Rattus norvegicus: one gene and its partners. The protein of the gene in region 3 interacts with the protein of the main gene of each other region in a pairwise test. Links are inferred from orthologs where the notes say so. Each region holds a gene or a part of one and is shown on either strand. Other genes may lie near its edges.

The links.
Region 1: the proteins of Trip6 (region 3) and Oip5 interact in binary tests that used the Homo sapiens proteins (3 or more experiments, as listed by UniProt). The two-hybrid records come from large-scale screens. The link is inferred for Rattus norvegicus from reciprocal best matches to the Homo sapiens genes TRIP6 and OIP5.
Region 2: the proteins of Trip6 (region 3) and Hoxa9 interact in binary tests that used the Homo sapiens proteins (3 or more experiments, as listed by UniProt). The two-hybrid records come from large-scale screens. The link is inferred for Rattus norvegicus from reciprocal best matches to the Homo sapiens genes TRIP6 and HOXA9.

Annotation. Positions count from the first base shown.
Region 1 is NC_086021.1:127,048,605-127,055,674, forward strand, and holds part of Oip5 (protein Mis18-beta), read right to left. Parts: intron 5,398-7,070; coding exon 5,275-5,397; intron 3,238-5,274; coding exon 3,156-3,237; intron 2,876-3,155; coding exon 2,764-2,875; exon of another isoform or gene 2,763-2,763; intron 902-2,762; coding exon 870-901; 3' UTR 1-869. UniProt on the Homo sapiens protein: Required for recruitment of CENPA to centromeres and normal chromosome segregation during mitosis.
Region 2 is NC_086022.1:82,653,231-82,660,408, reverse strand, and holds Hoxa9 (homeobox protein Hox-A9), read left to right. Parts: upstream 1-3,360; 5' UTR 3,361-3,436; coding exon 3,437-4,013; intron 4,014-5,164; coding exon 5,165-5,403; 3' UTR 5,404-6,562; downstream 6,563-7,178. UniProt on the Homo sapiens protein: Sequence-specific transcription factor which is part of a developmental regulatory system that provides cells with specific positional identities on the anterior-posterior axis.
Region 3 is NC_086030.1:25,019,505-25,026,682, forward strand, and holds the start of Trip6 (thyroid receptor-interacting protein 6), read left to right. Parts: upstream 1-3,454; 5' UTR 3,455-3,603; coding exon 3,604-3,712; intron 3,713-3,960; coding exon 3,961-4,088; intron 4,089-4,182; coding exon 4,183-4,308; intron 4,309-4,560; coding exon 4,561-4,944; intron 4,945-5,542; coding exon 5,543-5,636; intron 5,637-5,732; coding exon 5,733-5,902; intron 5,903-6,923; coding exon 6,924-7,102; intron 7,103-7,178. Other genes in the region: Slc12a9 (solute carrier family 12 member 9), read left to right, coding at 1,844-2,730. UniProt on the Homo sapiens protein: Relays signals from the cell surface to the nucleus to weaken adherens junction and promote actin cytoskeleton reorganization and cell invasiveness. Involved in lysophosphatidic acid-induced cell adhesion and migration.

The DNA of each region.
Region 1 (7,070 bases), on a different chromosome or scaffold from region 3:
GATGGCTCAGCAGGTAAGTACACTTACTGCTATTTCAGAGACCTAGGGTTCAGTTTCCAATACCCTTAACTGCCGATAATTCCAGTTCCAGGGGAGGGATCTGACAGCTTCTGCAGGCCAAACAGGAGTGTGGTGCACATCTTTAATCTCAAAATCTAGGAGGCAAAGACAGGTAGATCTCTGTGCAAGGCCAGCCTGGTCCACATAACCTTTCAAAGTGGGGATTACAAATGAGACCCTACCTAAAAACAACAGCAAAAAGATACAAATTGTTTATTGTGCATGCATTCTATTTCTTAACTGTTACTTATTACATATATATTTGTTGTTTTGTTCCAGACAGGGTTTCTCTATGTAGGCCTAGCTGTCCTAGAACTCACTCTGTAGATCAGGCTGGCCTTGAATTGAAAGATCGCCTACTTCTGCCTCCAGAGTGTTGGGGTTAAAAGCATGCACCGCCACCATCCAATGTACATATCTATTTTACATAAACAAAAATGATGTCTTGGTGACATTCTTCTTTAATTCTAGCAGAGGAAGCAGAGGAATGTAGATCTGTATAACTTTAAGGCTACCCTGGTCTACATAGAAAGTTCCAGGACAGCCAAAGCTATAGAGAGAGACCTTGTTTCAAAACAAATAAACAAGTATTTATAAGTATTCATATAACTGGCACGTAGAAGTACCATCTCTATTAACTCCATTTCTTTATCCAGGCCATCTGTTCATTCTGTTCGTCAGTGGACACAAGGGACACTGCATGCTAATTAGTTATTAGTAGTGAAATACATTTTCAGAAATAAGCATTATGGAATCAACATAGTAAAATAAATTTAAAGTAATAGAGTCACGTGCTGCAGGATCTTTGATCATTCTATGAACCCCAAGATTGTGTTGTTTCCTGAAAAACAAAACAAAACAGTTTCTAGTTGTGGTATGGCCCAGCTCGCGCGCACGCACACCTTTGTTCCCAATGGCTGGAATAAAGCATACATACACACCCTTAATACACACCTTTAATCCCAAACCAAGGTAAAGTTAGAAGTATAGAAGGAAGCACCCATGTTTGAAAATAATATCTGGGGGGCTGGAGAGATGGCTCAGTGGTTAAGAGCACTGACTGCTCTTCCAGAGGTCCTGAGTTCAATTCCCAGCAACCACATGGTAGCTCACAACCATCTGTAATGGAATCTGATGCCCTCTTCTGGTGTGTCTGAAGACAGCTACAGTGTACTCATATACAAAATAAATAAATCTTTAAAAAAAAAAAGAAAATGATATCTGATTGAGTGGCCGACAAGGTGACGAATTGGAGAAAGACTTGACAGAATAGAATATACCCTACTCTAATGAGGAGAGAAAAAGGAAGCTACTTAAGGGGCAGTGCAGAGAGAAAAGAAGATGTAGTTTTACAGACAGGTTGAAGAAAGAACAAGCTAAACACAGTTAAAGACAGAGGGAGCCAGAAGATTAGAACATATTGCCATAACATAAGTTAGTATGAGGTCAAGCAGAGCAACTCAGAAGCTGAGAAGCCAGACTGAATCAGTCAGCATGGTGAGCCAGAAGAGCTGAGCTGACCAGCTGGAGCTCAGAAAGAACTAGAAAGGGTGAGCTTATTCAGCAGCAAGTCTCAGAGGCTGAGAACATTCTAGATCTAGGTAAGACTGTATACAGGCTGGAAGCTTCCCGAACTAGGCCTAGGTTAGCAGATGGACGCAGTAAGCCTTGGAGAAGACAGCTACATCAGGCAAATAAAAGTTATTACGGGGGCTGGAGAGATGGCTCAGTGGTTAAGAGCACTGACTGCTCTTCCAGAGGTTCTGAGTTCAAATCCCAGCAACCACATGGTGGCTCACAACCATCTGTAATGAGCTCTGATGCCCTCTTCTGGTGTGTCTGAAGACAGCTACAGTATACTTCTATATAATTACACAATAAATAAATAAATATTTAAAAAAGTTATTACGGTCACAGCTTATTATGAAAAGGAAAAACACTGACTCCCCAAAGCAGGAGTGGGCTGATGAGCTGGGGAAATAGGCTTGAAGGCATATTCTCAAACAATGTGATGAGTACAGATAGTGGGACATGTTCTTAGGAACTTTAGGGAGGCCTCACATCCATAACACAGCTAAGGATTGCCTTACTCTTGTGATCTTCCTTCCTGTATTTCAAGTGTTGGGATCACAGGCATCACCAGATCTGACAGCCCTCTGTTCTTAATATTTAATATTATTTAAAAAGTTAAAGACCAAGAGGGTATGGTGGCACATGCCTTTAATCCCAGTACTCTGGTGGGGCAGGAAGATCCTTGTGAGATCTAGGACAGCTAGAAATACATAGTGAGACCCTGTCTCAAAACCAAAATGCCCCCCATCCCGCCACCAAAGAAAAAAAAGAAAAGACCAATGGGAACTAGAGAGATGGATCATGGATAAGTGTTAAGAGAGCTTCCAGCTTTTGTAGAGGTTAGTTCCCAGCACTTAACAACTGCCTGTAATTCCAGCTCTACCGAATCTCATGCTCTCTTCTGGCCTCCATGAGCAACAGCCCACATGTTCCAACCATACACACACACACACACACACACACACACACACACACACACACACAGAGAGAGAGAGAGAGAGAGAGAGAGAGAGAGAGAGAGAGAGAGAGAGAGAAGGGGGGGCAGGGAGAGAGAGAGAAGAGACCTTAAGGAAAGAAGAAGGAAGAAATGACCAGAGCACTTCGGGTGTTGAAGGAAGTTCTGTACGCTACCTTGCTTGTTGCTTGTTCTATTTTCCTGGTCAGACTGAGGAGGAGTCTTTTCCTTCAGAACCCTCAGCAGTGAGTTTAAACGAGAATGCATCAGCATTATCTTCTCTTTCAGCTGAGGAGAGACACAGATTGAGGACATCTTATACTCAACCCTTGATTTGCTGCTTATAATGTTACCAGACTTAAAATAAAACAAATCTAAAAACAAAACAAAACCAAACACACTTAAAAATTGCCTGTATTAAGGGAATGGATATAGCTTAGTTCTAGGAGAGCCTGTTCTACATAGTTAATTGAGACAAGTGACAAATACATAGTAAAAATCCTGTCTCCAAAAGGGAAACCCAAAATGAAAATGCTGTGTACGTAAGTAACTATACAACCAGGTTTACCTCTGCAATCTTTTCTGGTAAAGGTACATTGTAAATATCCATCTCAGATGTATTTACTATGGCCTTTGTTTTTAACAGATAGCTAGAGAGAAAATATATAGAGAAAATATTAGTACCATTACCAATGGACCAAACTTGCCCTCTAAAATATCTGTTGAGTAAAACCTTCCTTATGGTTTGAAGCAGCATGGTGTATTTTACTGGAAAAAAAAATATCAATTAAAACCACAAACTCTGCTTGAACCTTTGCCATTCTCAGTAACAAAACTGTCTCAGGAAAAACTAAAGACAATCCAGAATCAGATGGATAACCATCATTGGTAAAAGTTTACAACTTTTACCCTGCAGTACGGTGCAGCCTTGACGCCATCACTTTGAAGGAATGGCAGGTGGGCCTCTGGGAATTGAAAGCTGGCCAGGACTAGATGGGGAGTTCCAGGTCAGCCAGGGATATTAGAGACCCTGTCTCAAAACAAAATAAAACACAAAATGAGAAGGAAAAAAAAATAAGAGGATGCTTTTTAATGCTTATTTTTCTTTTTAAATATAATTCTAAATAACAATAACTTAGGGGGAAAAAAAGAAGCCAGGCATTATGATTTATGTCTTTAATTCATCAGGGTTCTCTAGAGAAAAAGAATTTACAGAATCAATAATGTCTCTTTATATATACATTGTAATTTTATACCAGTCAGGCCAAAGAGCCAGACCTACTCAAAGCAAACAAGCAAAAAAACAACAAACAAACAAACAAACAAACAAAGACATGAAAAGGAAGTAGAAATTTACAGTATGTTTGTTATTTAAGTATAATGCCAGGACACTGTTGGAAGTTGCGTGAATAACAGGAAAGCCAAGTGGCCACTAATGGTCTCAGAGTTAAAGGAGACTTTCTTATAAATGTTGTTTTGGCTTACATAAATCACTACAAACATCTAAGTACATTAAAATATGTTAGTATTACATTATTGTTTGTTTGTTTTTCAAAACAGCATTTCCCTTTGTAGTCTTGGCAATCTGGAACTCACTCTGTGGACTGGGCTAGCTTTGAACTCAGAGAGCCACTTGCCCCTGCCTCCTGAGTGCTGAAATTAATGGCATGTGCCACCATGTCTGGCTAAGTAATCTTAACTTCTGAGCCATTTCTCCATTCTTTCAGTTTCTTGTAATAAAATATCTTAGATTAAATGTTTAATTAGTAAGGAAGATTATCTGTGAACACAGAAACTGTGTACTAGAAAAACCTGTTTCTGGTTGTGGTGTGGCTCAGCCTTAGCACACACCTTTAATCCGAGAGCTGTTTATTGTAAGCAAAGTCTGAGTAAAGTAACTGCAGATCAAGACGTGCAGCAAGCAACCATTGACAGGAAGCGAACATAGGAAAAACCCATAGAGTCAGAGCAGGGGTCAGCAGGACAGATAGAGAGAACAGGAGTGGTGGCTCACACTGTTAATCCTAGCACTCCAGACACAGTTTGAGACAGTGAGTTTGAGGCCAGCCTGGTCTAAAAGCAAGCCCAAGCAGCCAGGGCTATTACACAAAGAAACCCTATCTTGAAAAACAAAAAACCCAATAAAACAAGAAAAAAAATTGAGAGAAAGCAACCTAAGCACTGGCATTTGTCTTTCTGCTTCCTGCTGCTGATACAGCATGACCAGCATCTCCTCCATGGACTTCCCACTGTGATGGACTGTGCCTTCAAACTGAGCCACAAGAAGCCCTCCTTTCCTGAGCTTGCTTTTGTCAGGTATTTTGTCTTGTCATGAAACAAGTAACCAACACAGGCCTTATTTCAAACTCCTGGGGTAGAAAATCTGATTGGCTTCCTTGGGATGGAGATATATAAAATCTCCAAGTTGTCTATATTGACACTATTTTGCAAAAGCATACCTTCCAGAATTTTCCTTAATGAAAGAACATTCTTAAATTAATCCATATTAAGACACAGTACAATAAACCATCTAAAATAATATTTATTTAAAAATTATATTTTATCCCTATGCAAGTATATATTATAATAAATAGTGCCTGACCTTTTGTATCTTCTTTGGTTATAAACACCTGGACTTTCCTAGCATCTTTTAAAAACCTTATTTAATAAGTAATGTCTCTACTCACCACAGCATTTTATCACAAGAAAGGCAGAAATGGCCTCTCAAGGCAGCCAGAGCAGCACGGGTAGAATATAAATGGAAACCAACAGGAGTCCCACAGGAGTTACAGAATAAAAGGTTGTATGTGCTGGTGGGAAAGGAAAGAAGCAGAATATAAAATAATGAAAAGCTAAAAGAGAAATAAAAATAACTACCCTCATCAGGTATAGTGTTGGTATCTGTTACTCTAACACCCAGAAGCATAGGCAGGAGGAACTCAAGTTCATCGACCTGATGGACTTCATCAAGTTCACTGGCTCCCAAGGACAGCCTGGGCCATATAAGACTCTTGTTTGAAAGAAACAAAAACAAAGAACATAATTTTTGACCAAAAACAAACTAAAAACTTTTAAAACAAAACAATACAATCCTCAAAACTAATTTTGGTACTGTCTCTGACCACTTGTGTAATTCATGGCTCCCTACCTAATAAAGAAATTTACTACTGTCCTTAAGATGTTTTGGGTTTTTTACTCCCTTATAGTCAGTTAGCATCATATAGCTTGCTAGGCCACTGGATCATGAACACCAAAGGACTTAAGGCAGTTACTTCCAATATATATTGAAAATACAATTGTTTCTCCATTTCCTTATATAGAATAAGGTCGATTAGGTTTTAATTTGTATTCATTATAAAAGTCTGTCAGTCTGGAAGACAACAGGACATAATATCAGGCAGTGGAGTGGAATAAAGATTTTTCTTCACTGTCACTCATTCCTTAAGTGCTGGGATTAAAGGCACCACCATGCCTGGCCAAAACTTTAAGTACCAATAGACTGTAATCCAAAAAAACTTTTTGAAATAATTTATAATAAGTGTTGTGTCACATACAATACAATCTAACAATCAACTACTGAGTTCAAAGATAGTAAAGAATGTATCTCAAGACCTCAAGTTTACTAGTGAAAACGACCATTTACCTCAGTTAGGATACACACAAGCAGAACCACACAGTGGGGAAGTCAGGGCTGCACTAACAGCAGGGAAAGGTACCTACAACCAAGCTTGACAGTGTGATCCTGGGTCTGGACTCCTCAAAGGTGTCCTCTCACCCTCATTAGTGTACCTTGGCATGTGACTACACAATACACACACTAAATAAATAAAGGTAATAAAACTATTTTTAGATTATAATGTGGAACAGAAATCTCATTCTCTTCTTTTAACTTGTATGCATTTTTGAAGTATTTATTATAGATCAACTCTAGCACCTAATACAAGATAAGCAAACATAGTACTTCTAAGCTATAGCACATCTCCAAATGTATGATTAAGTTTTTGTTTGTTTTTCTCAGACAGGGTTCCTTTGTGAACCCTTGGCTGTCCTGGAACTAGCTCTGTAGACCAGGCTGCCCTTGAACTCACAGAGACCCTCTGCCTCCCTAGGGCTGTGTTAAAAGTCGTGTCCTACCACCACCAGGCTTATAATTACAGTTTTTAATCAGGCTTTTTAAAAAGATTTTGGGTGTAGGTTCTGATGCTTGTGATCCAACACTTGTTGGCAGAAGCAGAACTGTAAGGTCAAGGTAAGACCATTACTACCAATATCAAAAGTAAAAGAATTTGTGATGTAACTAGATCAAAAGTGTCACTTCAGGGCCAGTGAAATGACTCAGTGGGGAAAGGCACTTGCTACCAACCCTGAGACACGGAGCTTAATCCTTCCATCCAGCATGGTGAAGGCAAGACTGCTTCCGGTTACCTCCGGGCCTACATATGCATGCTCCCATCGCATACGCAAACATATTCACACAAAAAAA
Region 2 (7,178 bases), on a different chromosome or scaffold from region 3:
GCTTGGAGCTTTCTTTCTTTCTTTCTTTCTTTCTTTCTTTCTTTTTCTTTTTTGTCTCGGTGCAGTTTTGAATGTTCTAAGGAGTCCATAAGGGATGCTGTTCAGGTCCGTGTTTTTTGGCCTGGTGGGCCTCTGTGCAGACAAGGCCTCGGTTACGATCACGACCGGATGGCGGCGGCCTTGCCTTAGCGGCTGCCTGAGATATCCGGTGAGGGGGCACCCGCGGCGTCTTTGTGTGCCCACACCGTGGGCAGGAAACCCTTTGCCAGCTCCATTGGTTCAGAAGCTGGAATCGGGCTGAATTCCTGCCTAAGTTCTGTGGAGCTGACCACTGGGAAAGCTCTAGCAGGAAGCTTTGACCAGCTCCGCCAGTTTTACAGGCCCTAATTCGGCCTTTGACCGTGATGAAAGAGCCTCACCGGGGCCAAGGCTTGATTACTTGCTGGCTTGCTACTAGCAGGATCAGACTGAGAAAATGTTAGACATGTCCGGCCTTGTGCAGCTGAGTGTTTGAGAAAGGAGACCTTCCCAGCTCCAATATATTTTAAGTGAGTGAAAACAACCTCCAATTCAAGAATAGGGAGGGCACAAACTGGGGTACTGGACTAAATTCTAATCTAAGAAAACCAGCCTAACCACTCTTAATACAGAAGACTGAAAACAAACCACTCTTTCCCACCAACGACATAGGCACTACCGAGACCGCAGAACTCTGTTTCCCTTCCCGGCTCATGCTGATGCATGGGAATTGTTTTCATTACTCAGTCAACAACCTGTTATCTGAATGACCAGTCCACCCGGTTCCCCCCAATTCTTCTCTGCTGGTTTCTGGATCCAGGTATTGGATTTATTTCAAAGCCCACAGTTTTAGGAGGATTCTCGGTTGAGAATGAGGTGGTGTGTGATTCATCCATTTATTATTTCTAGATGTGTATACAACTCCTTTCTCATCCAAAAGAAAGCAGAAATAAAAACATGTACGCTTTAGGATCAAGTTTCTAGACTTACAAGGACAGTATCTGCTTTTAGGATTTTTTTTCCCCTTCTGGCCACACATAAACAGCTGCTTAATACTCGATGCGTGCTCCTTTGTGATTTTTCTAGTTGGAGACTACAGGGTTTTTTAAAATGTATTTTAATTAATAATAATAAGGATATGATGAAGAAGATGATGACGATGATGATGATGGTGGTGGTGGTGGTGGTGACACATCTTCTCTGAATGCAAAAAGTGAAAAAGCCAGCCAGGAGTACTCTACTATTTACAACTAAGAGCAGAGTTATGCTCCAGGATTAGTGCTTTAATGAAAACCTGAACCTCAGAGGACTGCCGGATATTTAGAACACCTTGGGCTGTGTTGGGGTGTGTGTGACTTGGAGGAATTTGTAGGGAAAGGAAAATATTAGGGGGAGGGGACTGAGGCAGTCAGGACAGGCCACATCCAGTTGCTGGTGTTGGCCACTTTCTTCTCCTTCCTGCCTACGAGCAAAGGAGGGAGTCTGTATTCCCAGAGAGCTTCACAGCCCCTCTTTGGTGTAGAGCCTAATATTTTGGGGGGATCTTTGTCTCCTGAGACAGGAATCCGCCAGTGTTGGAAAGTGTTTACTTGAACTATTTCTGAGAAAGAAAGTAAAAACAAAGGTGGAAATGTCTCCAGCCAGCAGTTTTGTGGATAGCGAAGTGAAGTAATGAGAAACATACTCTTGGAGGGCACAGAATCCACACGTGAATTTAATTACACAGCTCCTAGGAGTTTGATGCTTTGTGTTCCAGATTGGGATGGGGCCACCATCCCTCCCATTAGCAACAGTGACTGTGGCCTTTTCACTTTTTTCCTCATCCCCCAAAATTCTAAGGGTGAAAAACAACATCCTCCATTTGTCCAAAGGATGAGATTAAAGTCAATGTCCAGTGCTCCTCCTGGGTTCCTCTGTAGCACTGGACTTGAGCTGCAGTCCTCTAGTGTTGGCTCTTGGATCTCTGTTGTTCTGTTTCATGGATAACCAAGGCAGGGTTGCTGGAGATAGAGAGGGGAAAAGAAAAAGAAAAGGGAGAGGGAAGGACGGAAAGAAGGGAAAAGGGAATGGAAGGGAAGCAAAAGGAAGGAAGGGAGAGAAGTGGGGTGGGAGAGGAATGAGAAGAAAGAACAGAGGAGGGAAGGATCCCAGGGAGGTTCATACAGGGCCCAGAGATGGCCATTTTAAGTGCCCGTGCTCCTCTTTTAGGAGAGGCGAGCCCTCAGCAAGACGAACTCCTCTGGTACTGATAGTGACTAGGCATATGGATGATGGAGCTTAGAACCGGCTGGATAGGGAAGAAAATTCGTGGAGCATTTTGTGCTCAAAGATGTGGGCCGTGGCGCTTGTGACACAGCAGGGCGTTTGTGACACAAACCTTAGAGGGTAGCTGGCAGTCCTCTCCTTGGCAGTTCCTCTGTGGAGCCTTCCCTTGTGGAGCAAGGGTGATCTGGGTGCTGTGCAAGCGCCTGGCTGGCTTTCCAATCTAACTAGGGTCAGTAGCGCATTTTAGGTTGGTGGTATCATCGATGGTGCATCGCGACAAGGGCGGTGGTCACACTGTTTGAGGTGGAGAGAGCCTTGTATTTGACTTTTCGAGGCCGGCCTGGGGCCGGGGCCTGGAGGGGGTGCGGGAGGGGGCTCACATCTCTGAGGACTGCAAGAATTATTTACAGGGCGCTCACCAACCAAACACAACAGTCTAATTTAACCTTTCCAAGTCCCCATAAATTTTTACAGGGAGCCGCAGCGAGGCAAACGAATCTGTTGGTCGTTCCTGACTTTCCACCAGCCTGTGTGGCTTCCGAAACAATAACTCCTTATGAAATATCATAAATATAGATTTAAATACAGTGGAGTGAGAATGCGATTTGGCTGCTTTTTTATGGCTTCAATTATTGTCTAATTTTATGTGAGGGGCTCTGCTGGCCGTGCTCGCACGCGGGACCCGCGCCTTCCTGATGGCGTGATTAATTGTGATATAAAATAGTCCGCTTAAGAAGTGTGTGTGTCTGGTATGTGTGTGTGTGTGTGTGTTTGTGTGTGTGTGTGTGTGTAGAGGGGGTGGCAAGGAAGAGTACCGAGGCAAGGCCAGATTTGATCTTTTAATCTTCGTTGGCCACAATTAAAACAAACCAGATCGTGGAGCTGCGCGATCCCTTTGCATAAAAACATATGGCTTTTGCTATAAAAATTATGACTGCAAAACACCGGGCCATTAATAGCGTGCGGAGTGATTTACGCGTTATTGTTCTGCTGGGCGGACACGTGACGCGCGTGGCCAATGGGGGCGCGGGCGCCGGCAACTTATTAGGTGACTGTACTTCACCCCCCCTGGTGCCACCAAGTTGTTACATGAAATCTGCAGTTTCATAATTTCGGCGGGTCGGGCTGGGCCGGCCAGGCGCGGGCTACTGCGATGGCTACCACCGGGGCCCTGGGCAACTACTATGTGGACTCCTTCCTGCTAGGCGCTGACGCTGCGGACGAGCTGGGTGCGGGACGCTACGCTCCAGGGGCCCTGGGCCAACCCCAAAGGCAGGCGGCAGCGCTGGCCGAACACCCCGACTTCAGCCCTTGCAGCTTCCAGTCCAAGGCGGCGGTGTTCGGTGCCTCGTGGAACCCAGTGCACGCGGCAGGCGCCAATGCGGTGCCTGCTGCGGTGTATCACCACCACCACCACCCCTACGTGCACCCCCAGGCGCCCGTGGCGGCGGCGGCGCCGGACGGCAGGTACATGCGCTCCTGGCTGGAGCCCACGCCGGGTGCGCTCTCCTTCGCGGGCTTACCCTCCAGCCGGCCTTATGGCATTAAACCTGAACCGCTGTCGGCCAGAAGGGGTGACTGTCCCACGCTTGACACTCACACTTTGTCCCTGACTGACTATGCTTGTGGTTCTCCTCCAGTTGATAGAGAAAAACAACCCAGCGAAGGCGCCTTCTCCGAAAACAATGCCGAGAATGAGAGCGGTGGAGACAAGCCCCCCATCGATCCCAGTAAGTGTCTCCTTCCTGCAAATCGGCCGCTGCCTCCACGCAGGCCACCAGGATCTACCAGCGCATCAGCTTTCTCTCGAGCCTGCCTTCGTTCTCGATGGGTGCCTCTGAATCTAGGGCCCGAGAACCAGAAGTTGGTGTTTGGAACACCTCTGATAGGGGCCCCAAGTCCAGAGAACCGTGTGGATCAGGCCGGGCCAGCTAGGGGAAAGGGAGGAGGATACTGCAGTACGAGGGGGCGGGGCGGGCGAGCGAGTGGAGCCGAGACCCGCCGCCCCTCTCCTAAGCTGCCCAGGCCTAGGACAGACAGACTTTGGGCGGTTCTTCGAAAGCAGCGCAGAGAAGTCTTTTGTGCGGCTAGATTGTGCACGAACTGTGGCAGCGACGTCAGCCGGGCAATCTGACCCGGGACGCTTGGGGAGACCTCCGATTCCCTCCATTTCTTGCTTTCGGCCGGTGGCGGCGGAAATCCTGCCCAAGATGAGGCTACGGGCTTTGGAACCACGAGGGTCCCTTTGCCAGATTTATTCAAATAAAGTGGAGCCCTGATCAAAGGCCCTGGGGCATCCTGCCTCCCGCGTAGTTCCCACGGCCTTCCGGGAAGGTCAAATAAAGAGTGGGGGCAGTTGCGAGGAAGCTGGGGAAAGGGGGGGAGGGGAGAGAGAGAGAGAGAGAGAGAGAGAGAGAGAGAGAGAGAGAGAGAGAGAGAGATTAATCTTGCCACAAGAACTCAGGATAGCTTGCTCTTTACTGGCAAAAGAAAGAAAGAAAGAAAGAAAGAAAGAAAGAAAGAAAGAAAGAAAGAAAGAAAGAAAGAAAGAAAGAAAGGAAGGAAGGAAGGAAGGAAGAAAAAGAAAAAGAAAAAGAAAGAAAAAATGGTTTCCAAATTTCACCCTTTCACAATATGCAGACTGTGGAAAGAAGAAGAGGAGGAGACAGGAGAGGCGAAAGGAGGGTGGGGATGGTAGGGGGAACTGAGACTTTCCCGGCGCTGTTGTGACCCTCCGTGGGTCTGTCTGCTAGGGCTTCATTGTGTTTTCTCTAACCAATTCAGCCGCATCCTGCACTTCGACCAGAGACCCCCAAGAGGCTCCTTCAGACCCACCCGGGACCCTTCTCCTTCTAAACCCCGTGTCTCTCTCCCTCCACAGATAACCCGGCCGCCAACTGGCTACATGCTCGCTCCACTCGGAAGAAGCGGTGTCCCTACACAAAACACCAGACGCTGGAACTGGAGAAAGAATTTCTGTTCAACATGTACCTCACACGGGACCGCAGGTACGAAGTGGCCCGGCTACTCAACCTCACCGAAAGGCAGGTCAAGATCTGGTTCCAGAACCGCAGGATGAAAATGAAGAAGATCAACAAGGACCGAGCAAAAGACGAGTGAGCCTTTGGGGGGCTCGTTTAAAAAAAAAGAGAGCAAGCTAGAAAGAAAAAGAAAGGACTGTCTGTCTCCCTTTCTCTCCCCTCTCCCAAACCCAGCCTCCACCACCCGCACAAAGGGGCTCTAAATCCCAGGCCTCATGTCTCCCTGGCAGTCCCTGCTCAGGCTGGGTCCTAGGCCTTCGGCTTTAATGGAGGAGGTATTGTAAGCTTTCCGTTTTCTAGAAGGCACACACACAAGGGAGGGCATTAGCGCTGTTGTCTGTATGTGCTAGCTTGTATATATATATATTTAAAAAAAATCTACCTGCTTCCGACTTTAAGCAAAAGGAAAGAAAACTACCTTTTTATATAATGCACAACTGTTGATGACTGGCTGTATAGTTTTTAGTCTCTGTAGCTAATTTAATTTGCTCTTCGTGTGGCAGAGCATTCTGCCAAAATACTTGAACACTGTGTTTTATTGTGGTAATTATGTTTTGTGACTCAAACTTCTGTGCTGGGTGAAGTGCCCATTGTGATTGTGGATGCTAGAATTCAATTTGAACTCAGGTTGTTTATGGGGGAAGAGAAGCTGTCGCATAGAGTATAGCTCTGTAGTGGGATACGTCTTCTGTGTAACTAGACTGTTAACCTACAACTGTAAACTAGCTGTAAGGATTTCCCAGTGAAATCAAACTTGGAAAGAAAAGGGAGGTAGTTCTCCAGGATGCATAGATTCCTGATTTATCTGCTTTTGAAATGTGGGTTTTTTTTTCCATCTTTACACGTTCTAGATTCCAGTTTTGTCCAATGTATATAGGATCTCCACATTAAAGAAATATCCATGATCAGAAAGCTTGAAGATTGTTTTTGCACCAGAGGAGAAGTGAGGAAATTCGGAGCTATACACATGTGCAGAGGGTTACTACCTATGGTTTATGCTTAATTTTAATTAGGGGAAAGTGAGTGCTTACTGTAATGGAGTTAATTTTATTGATAATAAATTATACACCATGAAAACGCTATTGGGCTACTGTAGATTTGTATCCTTGGTGAATTTGGGGTTTCCATCGGACTGAACATACACTGTATATTTTGCAATAGTTACCTCAAGGCCTACTGACCAAATTGTTGTGTCAAGATATTTAACTTTTGCCAAATAAAATATATTGATTCTTTTACGTTGTGCGGGTCTGCTTTTTGTACCATCTTTTTTCTGGATATGTTTTCCGGGGAGGGCTGAGGTGAGGCGGGAGGAAAGCCGTAATTCTGTCTCTAACTGGAACCAGCCATAGACGGGCCAGGCCTAAGCACTCCGGATTCAGCCCGGAGACGCTCGGTAGGAAGCAGGAGCAGCGGAAAGCGGGGAAGATCAACGGTGGAGGTGTTGTAGCAAATAGACTCGGGTCTATTAGACATCAGAGAAGTATCTGGGGTGCTGCACAAAAGAGCTGGGCCTCACTGGCCAGCAAGGTGGAAAGCCCGTCCACTCTTTCATTTTTGGTGCCTCAAAAATTTGACCAAACCTGGACTCACAAAAAAAAAAAAAAAAGAGCTGAAGCCTTTGGAAGTAGGGTGGTAGAGTTGAGGGCTGCAAGACAAGGAGCTGAGGGCTCGTTCCCTGCTAAGAAGGCTCTGAGGAGACAAGCGGGAGCCACACGTGGGCAATAAGGTGACTCCTTCAAATATTCAGGGGTTTTCAGAGAGTAGAAAATCTGTACCCTTGTGCCTCACTCCGTCCTGCCAACCTTGCTGGGGACGGGTTGGGGGTAGGGATCAGCATCCTACACTGCAAAG
Region 3 (7,178 bases):
GGGGAGTTACTAAATCGTCTAGGCTGGATTTGAACTCATGATGCCCCTGTCTTTGCTGCTTGAGTGCTGGGATTACTGGCATGAGCTACCATATCCTGGAAGTGAAGTTGTCTGAGGCAGTAGTATGGTGAGTTCTGGGCCAGCCTGGGCAACATAAGGAAAATCTGATCTCAAAAAAAAAAAAAAAGAAAAAAAAAAAAAGAAAAATTCCAGCGATTATGGTCAGGAATTTGAGAGGCTCATACTTATCGACTGCCCTCCTGGGACTTCTCAGACAGATCTGGGTCATTGAGCTTGCTTCAAGCCCAGCTGGAAGGTTAGAGAATAGCCTCTAATATGAGCAGACACTCACCTTCGTGCCAGGCCCTTCCAGGCCTGAGGCTTTAGGCCGGTGACTTCATCGCGTGGGGCCTGAGGTTGGTTCCTTATCTCTAAAAGGGGCAGAATGAACACTACTTATCTCATAGTGTTACCACAGGGTTCAAATGAGGTAAAGGAGTGCTTTCTCCAGGATGTGGCCTCTGATAACCAGAGGCTTTCTGCTTCCTCTGGGTACCAGGCCGCTGTCCCTGGAGCAGAAGTAGAAGGAAGAGAGCTGTAAAGACTAGCCTATCGTCCAGTCTTCCCCTTTCTAGGACTGGGATGTCTCCACTGGAGATTGACATCGTGAACTTGAATGGTCAGGCTCTCTGATTTTTATTTCACCCAGGCCTGGTGATGCAGGCTGTATTCCCAGCTACTCCAGGAGGGCTGCAAGTTCAAAGCCAGCGTGGGCTATAGAAGAAATTTCATTTCCTCAGTGGAGTTCAACTTGAATCTTTGGGGTTTTGCTTGTTTGTTTTCTGGTTGAGACAAGGTCTTGCTCTGTAGCCTAAGCTGCGTGGAACTCACTGAGTAGCCTGGACTGGCATCAAACTTAGAGCCATCCTCCTGCTTCAGCCTCTTGGTTGCTGGGGTTACGGGCTAGAGCCATCGTGCCTGGTTGAAACGGCCTCTCCTGACATGAAAAAGATGTGTTGCCTAAGGCCTGTGGTTGATGCCAGCCAACCTTAGCACTAGGAGAACCCAGAGCTGGGGCTGGAGCTCATTGGTAGAGCCCTGAGCTCCCTCCCAACACTCGGCGAACTTCATGGGGCAGCGGTGATGAGTACCTAGAATCCCAGCACTTGGAGGAGGATGTAGGAAGATCAGAAGTTCAAGGTTACCTTCTGACACTTAGAGTTCAAAGAAAGCCCAGGATGCCTGGGACCTTGTCTAGAAAATCAAAAACTGTGAGTGAGTGAGTGAGTGGGTGCGTGCGTGTGTGCATTTAATCCCAGTGCTCAGGAGACCGAGGCAAGTGGATTTCTATGAGTTTGTGCTTCACTGGGTCTACATAGTGAGTTGCGGCCCAGTCAGGGCTGTATCATGAAACCCTGCCTTAGAATGATAAAATCAATCAAGCAAGTCAACAAACAGACCCCCCTTCCTCTGAAACAAATAAACAAACAAACAAAAACCTAAAGGAAATTTAAGATGGGGCTTGGAATATAGCTGTTAGTGATTGAGGTTTACTCTCCAGTACCACTCCCTGCAAAGGGGGGAAGACATCCTGAAGTGAACTTTATCTATTTAAAGTGGAAGAGATTATTCCAAGAGATAGTCAAATAAATGCATGTGAAAGTGTTTTAGCAAAGCCAATTCATTGTGCAAACGTGTGTATACTGTTTGCTGTAAGGGCCTCAGCCAAGGAGGATGTCATACCTCATGGCTGACCTAAGTGTGAGTGGGCGAGTTTTATGTGGTGTAAACTCAGTCCTCAGCCTGATTTCTGTTCCTTCCTGCCTCCCTTCTCTGCCCCTAGGCGGTATGAAGCCCAACACGTTGGTGCTCGGTTTTTATGATGACGCCCCACCCCAGGACCATTTTCTAACAGACCCAGCCTTCTCTGAGCCTGCAGAGGGCACCAGAGAGGGCGGGTCGCCAGCCCTGAGCACGCTGTTCCCTCCACCTCGGGCTCCTGGGAGCCCCAGGGCTCTCAGTCCCCAGGACTACGTGGCCACCGTGGCAGATGCTCTCAAGATGAACAAGAATGTGGTTCTCGCCCGAGCTTGTGGGGCTTTGCCCCCGGAGCGGCTAAGCCGGGGGTCCGGTAGCAGCGCTCAGCTACATCATGTGGACGTATGGCCCTTGAATCTGTTGAGGCCCCGGGGTGGACCTGGATACGTGGACGTCTGTGGCCTTTTTCTGTTGCAGATGGCTACCATCTTAAGCATGGTGCCTGCCTGGCACAGTGCCCGGCTCCGGATCTTTCTGTGCTTGGGGCCCAGAGAGGCTCCTGGGGCAGCAGAGGGAAGGCTCCGGGCCCTGTTGAGTCAACTCAGGATCCGGGCAGAGGTGCAAGAGGTGGTGTGGGGTGAAGGGGCTGAGGCTGGGGAGCCTGAGGAGGAGGAAGGGGACTTTGTGAATGGTGGTCGAGGAGACGAAGAGGCAGAGGCTCTAGCTTGCAGTGCCAATGCCCTGGTGCGTGCCCAGCAGGGACGAGGCACAGGAGGAGGCCCTGGGGGACCAGAAGGAAGGGATGGAGAGGAGGGACCCACCACAGCCCTTACCTTCCTGTATCTTCCTCGACCTCCTGCTGATCCTGCCCGCTACCCTAGATACCTGGCACTGCTGGAGACCCTAAGCCGTGATCTGGGTCCCACCCTTCTTATTCATGGTGTCACTCCGGTTACCTGTACTGATCTCTGATGCCTGTGCATACAGTGTTGGATAGATAGAGAGGGCCCAGGCCCATTCTCAACAAGGGACGCCCTCCCCCGCCCCCAATGGGCCCTGCCCTTTTGATGATGTTTTAAGGGGACCCTGGTCTCCTTTGGGTGGCGAATGGACATAGTACACTAATTCTAGGTGGCTGCCCCATTGTAGGGGAGGACATTGCGGCCCTGTTCCTGGTCTGCCTACGCTTCCTTCACTGGTGCCTTGACCAGAGGGGCTGGTCTCTTCTGTGACTCTAGGCTACCTCAGTGTCCCCATCCTGGCCACAGACGCACCACCTCCCTCTCCCCGACTTCCTTGGGTGGTGATGTTTGTGTTTTGTTTTATTTTTCTAACTACTGACCATAAATAAAAGACCAAAACACTATGGGCTGGTGGAGCACTGCTGGTGGGTAGATGAGAGGGAGCCGGGTGGGAAGGGAGAGATCTATGAGGGGGTGGAGACTTTCAGAGTCCCGGCCAAGAGGCTGCCACGTGCAGGACTGGGGCAGGGATCTGAGAGAATTGCTGGACCAGAGCCTCTCGGAGAGGCCTGCAGCCCACCCTAGGCTTGGCTCCGGAGGAGGGCGGTCCTCACTTAACAGGAGGGGGCCAGAGAAAGGAAGAATCGTAGAATAAGGCTTGGGGGACCACGTGACCCTCACCAGGAATGTGGTGACGTCAGGGGGCGTGGTCCTCTCCAAAATTGGGGAGGAAGGGAAGAAAAAAAAAGCCAGAAAAAGTTTCTTTGCTGGAGTCCCAAACGGGGCGTGGGGCCGAAAGGGAGGGAAGGGGCTCAAGGGCCCGGCCGCTGGGCTTGTGGGGGTCCTGACCTCTGTCTGGAGTGGAGCAACCCTATTCCAGACCATGTCCGGGCCCACCTGGCTTCCCCCGAAGCAGCCAGAGCCCTCCAGAGTCCCTCAGGGGAGAGCGCTGCCCAGAGGAACCCTGGGTCCGCCAACGGCCCATGGAGCAAGTAAGTGTTCCCCTTTCCCACACCCGGGAGTGGCAGAAGAGCCATTGGCCACTTTCCTTAACCTTTTCTTCCTTGCCTATCTGCTTCCTGCTGTCCCTTCCCCAAGCCAGAGTCCCTTGCTCTTGTGCAAGTTTCCCTAACTCTTGGTCCATCCCCAGACTCCCAGGTACGTGAAGGAGAGCTGCCTGAGAAAGGCGGCTTTAACCAGGGTACCCTTCTCCGCTCTCACCTCCCGTCTCCCCCTTTAGCGCTCCAGCCTCACCCCAGGGTCAACTTTTGCCCCCTCCCACCTGAACAATGTTATCAGCCTCCGGGGGTACCGGAAGATCGGGGGCCTACTTGGGTGGGATCCCATGGAGCAGCCCAGCGCCTGCAGGTGAGAATTGGAGGTGAGGGTAGGATCAAGGTGAGAGAAGGCTAGGTAGGGGTTGTGATCGGTATTTGTTCTTCCTGTTTTGGCTCTGTCTCAGGGGCTCCCTCCAGACCGGGGAGTCATCCACCCTGGAAGTCTGGACGCTGAGATAGATTCGCTCACCAGCATGCTGGCTGATCTGGACGGGAGTCGCAGTCATGCACCTAGGCGACCAGACAGACAGGTGATCTCCTGTGTTCTGTCTCTCCTGTGTCAGCCGATTCTCTTTTGTAGATTCTCAGCCTCAGTCCGCCCTCTTCACTCTCCGCCCACCCTCTTTGCAACTAATAAATAACTGGTTCAAGGAATCATGAACTTCCTTCTTGTTAGGCCTAACCCATGGGAACTTGACAAAAGTCATGGCTCCCGAGATTCCACCTGGCGCGCATGGATCTTGGATCTGGCCTTACTGTTTGTGCATTGTTTGTCTTCCCAGGCTTTTGAGGCTCCTCCACCCCATGCTTACCGTGGAGGCTCCCTGAAACCCAGCGGAGGTGCTGTTCCAGCCCCGATGCTCCCAGCATCTCCCTATGGTGGACCTACTCCAGCCTCTTATGCTACCGCGAGCACTCCAGCTGGTCCTGCTTTCCCTGTTCAAGTGAAGGTGGCTCAACCCGTGAGAGGCTGTGGACTGCCCAGGCGGGGGGCTTCGCAGGCCTCTGGACCTCTTCCAGGCCCCCACTTTCCTCTGACAGGTCGTGGTGAAGTCTGGGGAGCTGGCTATAGGAGCCACCGAGAGCCAGGACCAGGGGTTAAGGAGGGAGCTGCTGGAGTTCATAACCCTGCAGGAGGAGGAAGAAGAGGTGGGCATGAGCCTCAGGTAAGCCAGGGGGTGTGGGCACGGTGGTACCTGGTCATTGTAGGTAACTGGCCGTTGGTTAGGTGGTGTGGAGGCTGAGGGATTAAGATACCGTTTTTAGGAGACGCAGTTCAGTTGGTAGAGAGTTGGTAGAGTCCTTTTTTTTTTTTTTTTTTTTTTTTTTCTTTTTTTCGGAGCTGGGGACCAAACCCAGGGCCTTGCGTTTGCTAGGCAAGCGCTCTACCACTGAGCTAAATCCCCAACCCCGGTAGAGTCCTTTTTTATTATGTAGGAATCCCAAGGTTCTAGACCCAGCACTGTATAAACAAAGCATGGGGGAGGTAGAGGCAGGAGGATCAGTAAATTAAGATATTTGGCTACATAATGAGTCCAAGGCCAGCCTAGGCCATATGAGACACGCTCTTAAAAATAAATATAAGTCAGTTGTGGTTTTAGGGTACTTAGAGGTCAAGGATTACGATGTCCAAAGGGAAGGGGCTTCCTTCCCTTGTCAGCCTGGGAGATATTCTCAGAGGAAATTTCAGGGTTCCTGAGCTTGTGGGTTACTTACGGTGTGTGAGGTCGAAGCAGCACTGCAAAGCCCTGTTTCTCCCTGTAGGGCCCCTTGAGCCAGCCTCCAGAGGAGGAGCTGGAGAGACTGACCAAGAAGTTGGTGCATGACATGAACCACCCGCCCAGTGGGGAGTACTTTGGTGAGCTGACCCGCTGGGTAGGATGGGACGGGGAGGGGACAGTGGATCCGGTGTCCTGGGTCTGTGGAGACTGATCTTGTTCCCCTCTGTCCCCAGGTCGGTGTGGTGGCTGTGGCGACGATGTGGTTGGTGATGGAGCTGGGGTTGTGGCCCTGGACCGTGTCTTCCATACTGGTTGCTTCGTGTGTTCTACCTGTCGGGCCCAGCTCCGAGGCCAGCACTTCTATGCCGTGGAGAGGCGGGCGTATTGTGAGAGCTGCTATGTGGTGAGCGGTTGGGCTGTGAGAGGGTGTTGCCAAATTGGGAGTGTCAAGATTTGACAGGCAGGTTTCTATCCAAGAGAGGGCCAGGTACTCAGCTGGGTGGGCCTGGAAGCTGGAGATTCAAGCTGAGGTACAATGAACTAAGTATGGTGGCTCAGGCCTGTCTGGAGGAGAACATGGGCTACGGAAGCGGGTTGGAAGCCAGCCCAAGGCACAGGTTTCCGAAGATCGATTGATCCATCAACCAAAAGAACACTTTGCGTTTTGTTTCTTGGATTGCCTGTTTGTCGTTTTGAGATAATACGTCGTGTGTCCCAGGCTGGCCTGAAACTCTTAGGTATTTATAGCTAAGGAAGACCTTGGGTATGGGGATTCCAGGTGTGGGCCACCAGATCTGTTCTTTGTGGTGTTAGGAATGGAACCCAGGGCTCTTGCATGCCGGACAAACACTTTACCAACTGAGCTACAACCCCAGATTAAGGAATGAGTTAAATGTGGACACGAGCTGAAGGAGAGGAGGAACAGCTCGTGCTGTCTAAGTGGGTGGCCACCTTCCTTCCTTCCCTCCTTCCCTCCTTCCCTCTTTCCCTCCTTCCTCCCCTCTTTTCCTCCACCTCTCCTTCCCTTTCTCCCTCCTTCCTTCTTTCCTTCCTTTGAGACCGAGTCTCACTACGTAGCCTAGGCTGGTCCTGAAGTTACAGTCTTCCTGCCTCGGCTTCCGAGAGCTGAGAAACCAGATGTGTGCCCAGCTAGAAGGCATTTTAGAGTTGAGGTAATTTGTAAAAGCCTCACAGCATTCCTCAGAGGCAAGCACTACTGACTCATCTCACTGAAAGAGGAAGTGTGCGGAGACCAGATTCCTTGTCTAGAGGCTTCAGTGCCCGTATGAAACCTCAGAAATGCTAAGTCCACCTTCCACTGAATGCTCTGCGGGGAACTACACACACCACGTGGTTGGGCAGAGAGTACGCCTTCCTGGCTGGAGTGGCTTTTCCCCCTGACCTTCCTTCCTCTTTCCTATTAGGCCACACTGGAGAAATGTTCCACATGCTCTGAACCCATCCTGGACCGAATCCTGAGGGCTATGGGGAAGGCTTACCATCCTGGTTGCTTCACCTGTGTGGTGTGCCACCGTGGCCTCGATGGCATCCCTTTCACAGTGGATGCCACCAGCCAGATCCACTGCATTGAAGATTTCCACAGGTCTCAGAATGCCTGCTCTGACCTATCTCTTCATGTCCCAGGGTCTGCCTCTTCTTTTTCTATCTTTTCATTCTCT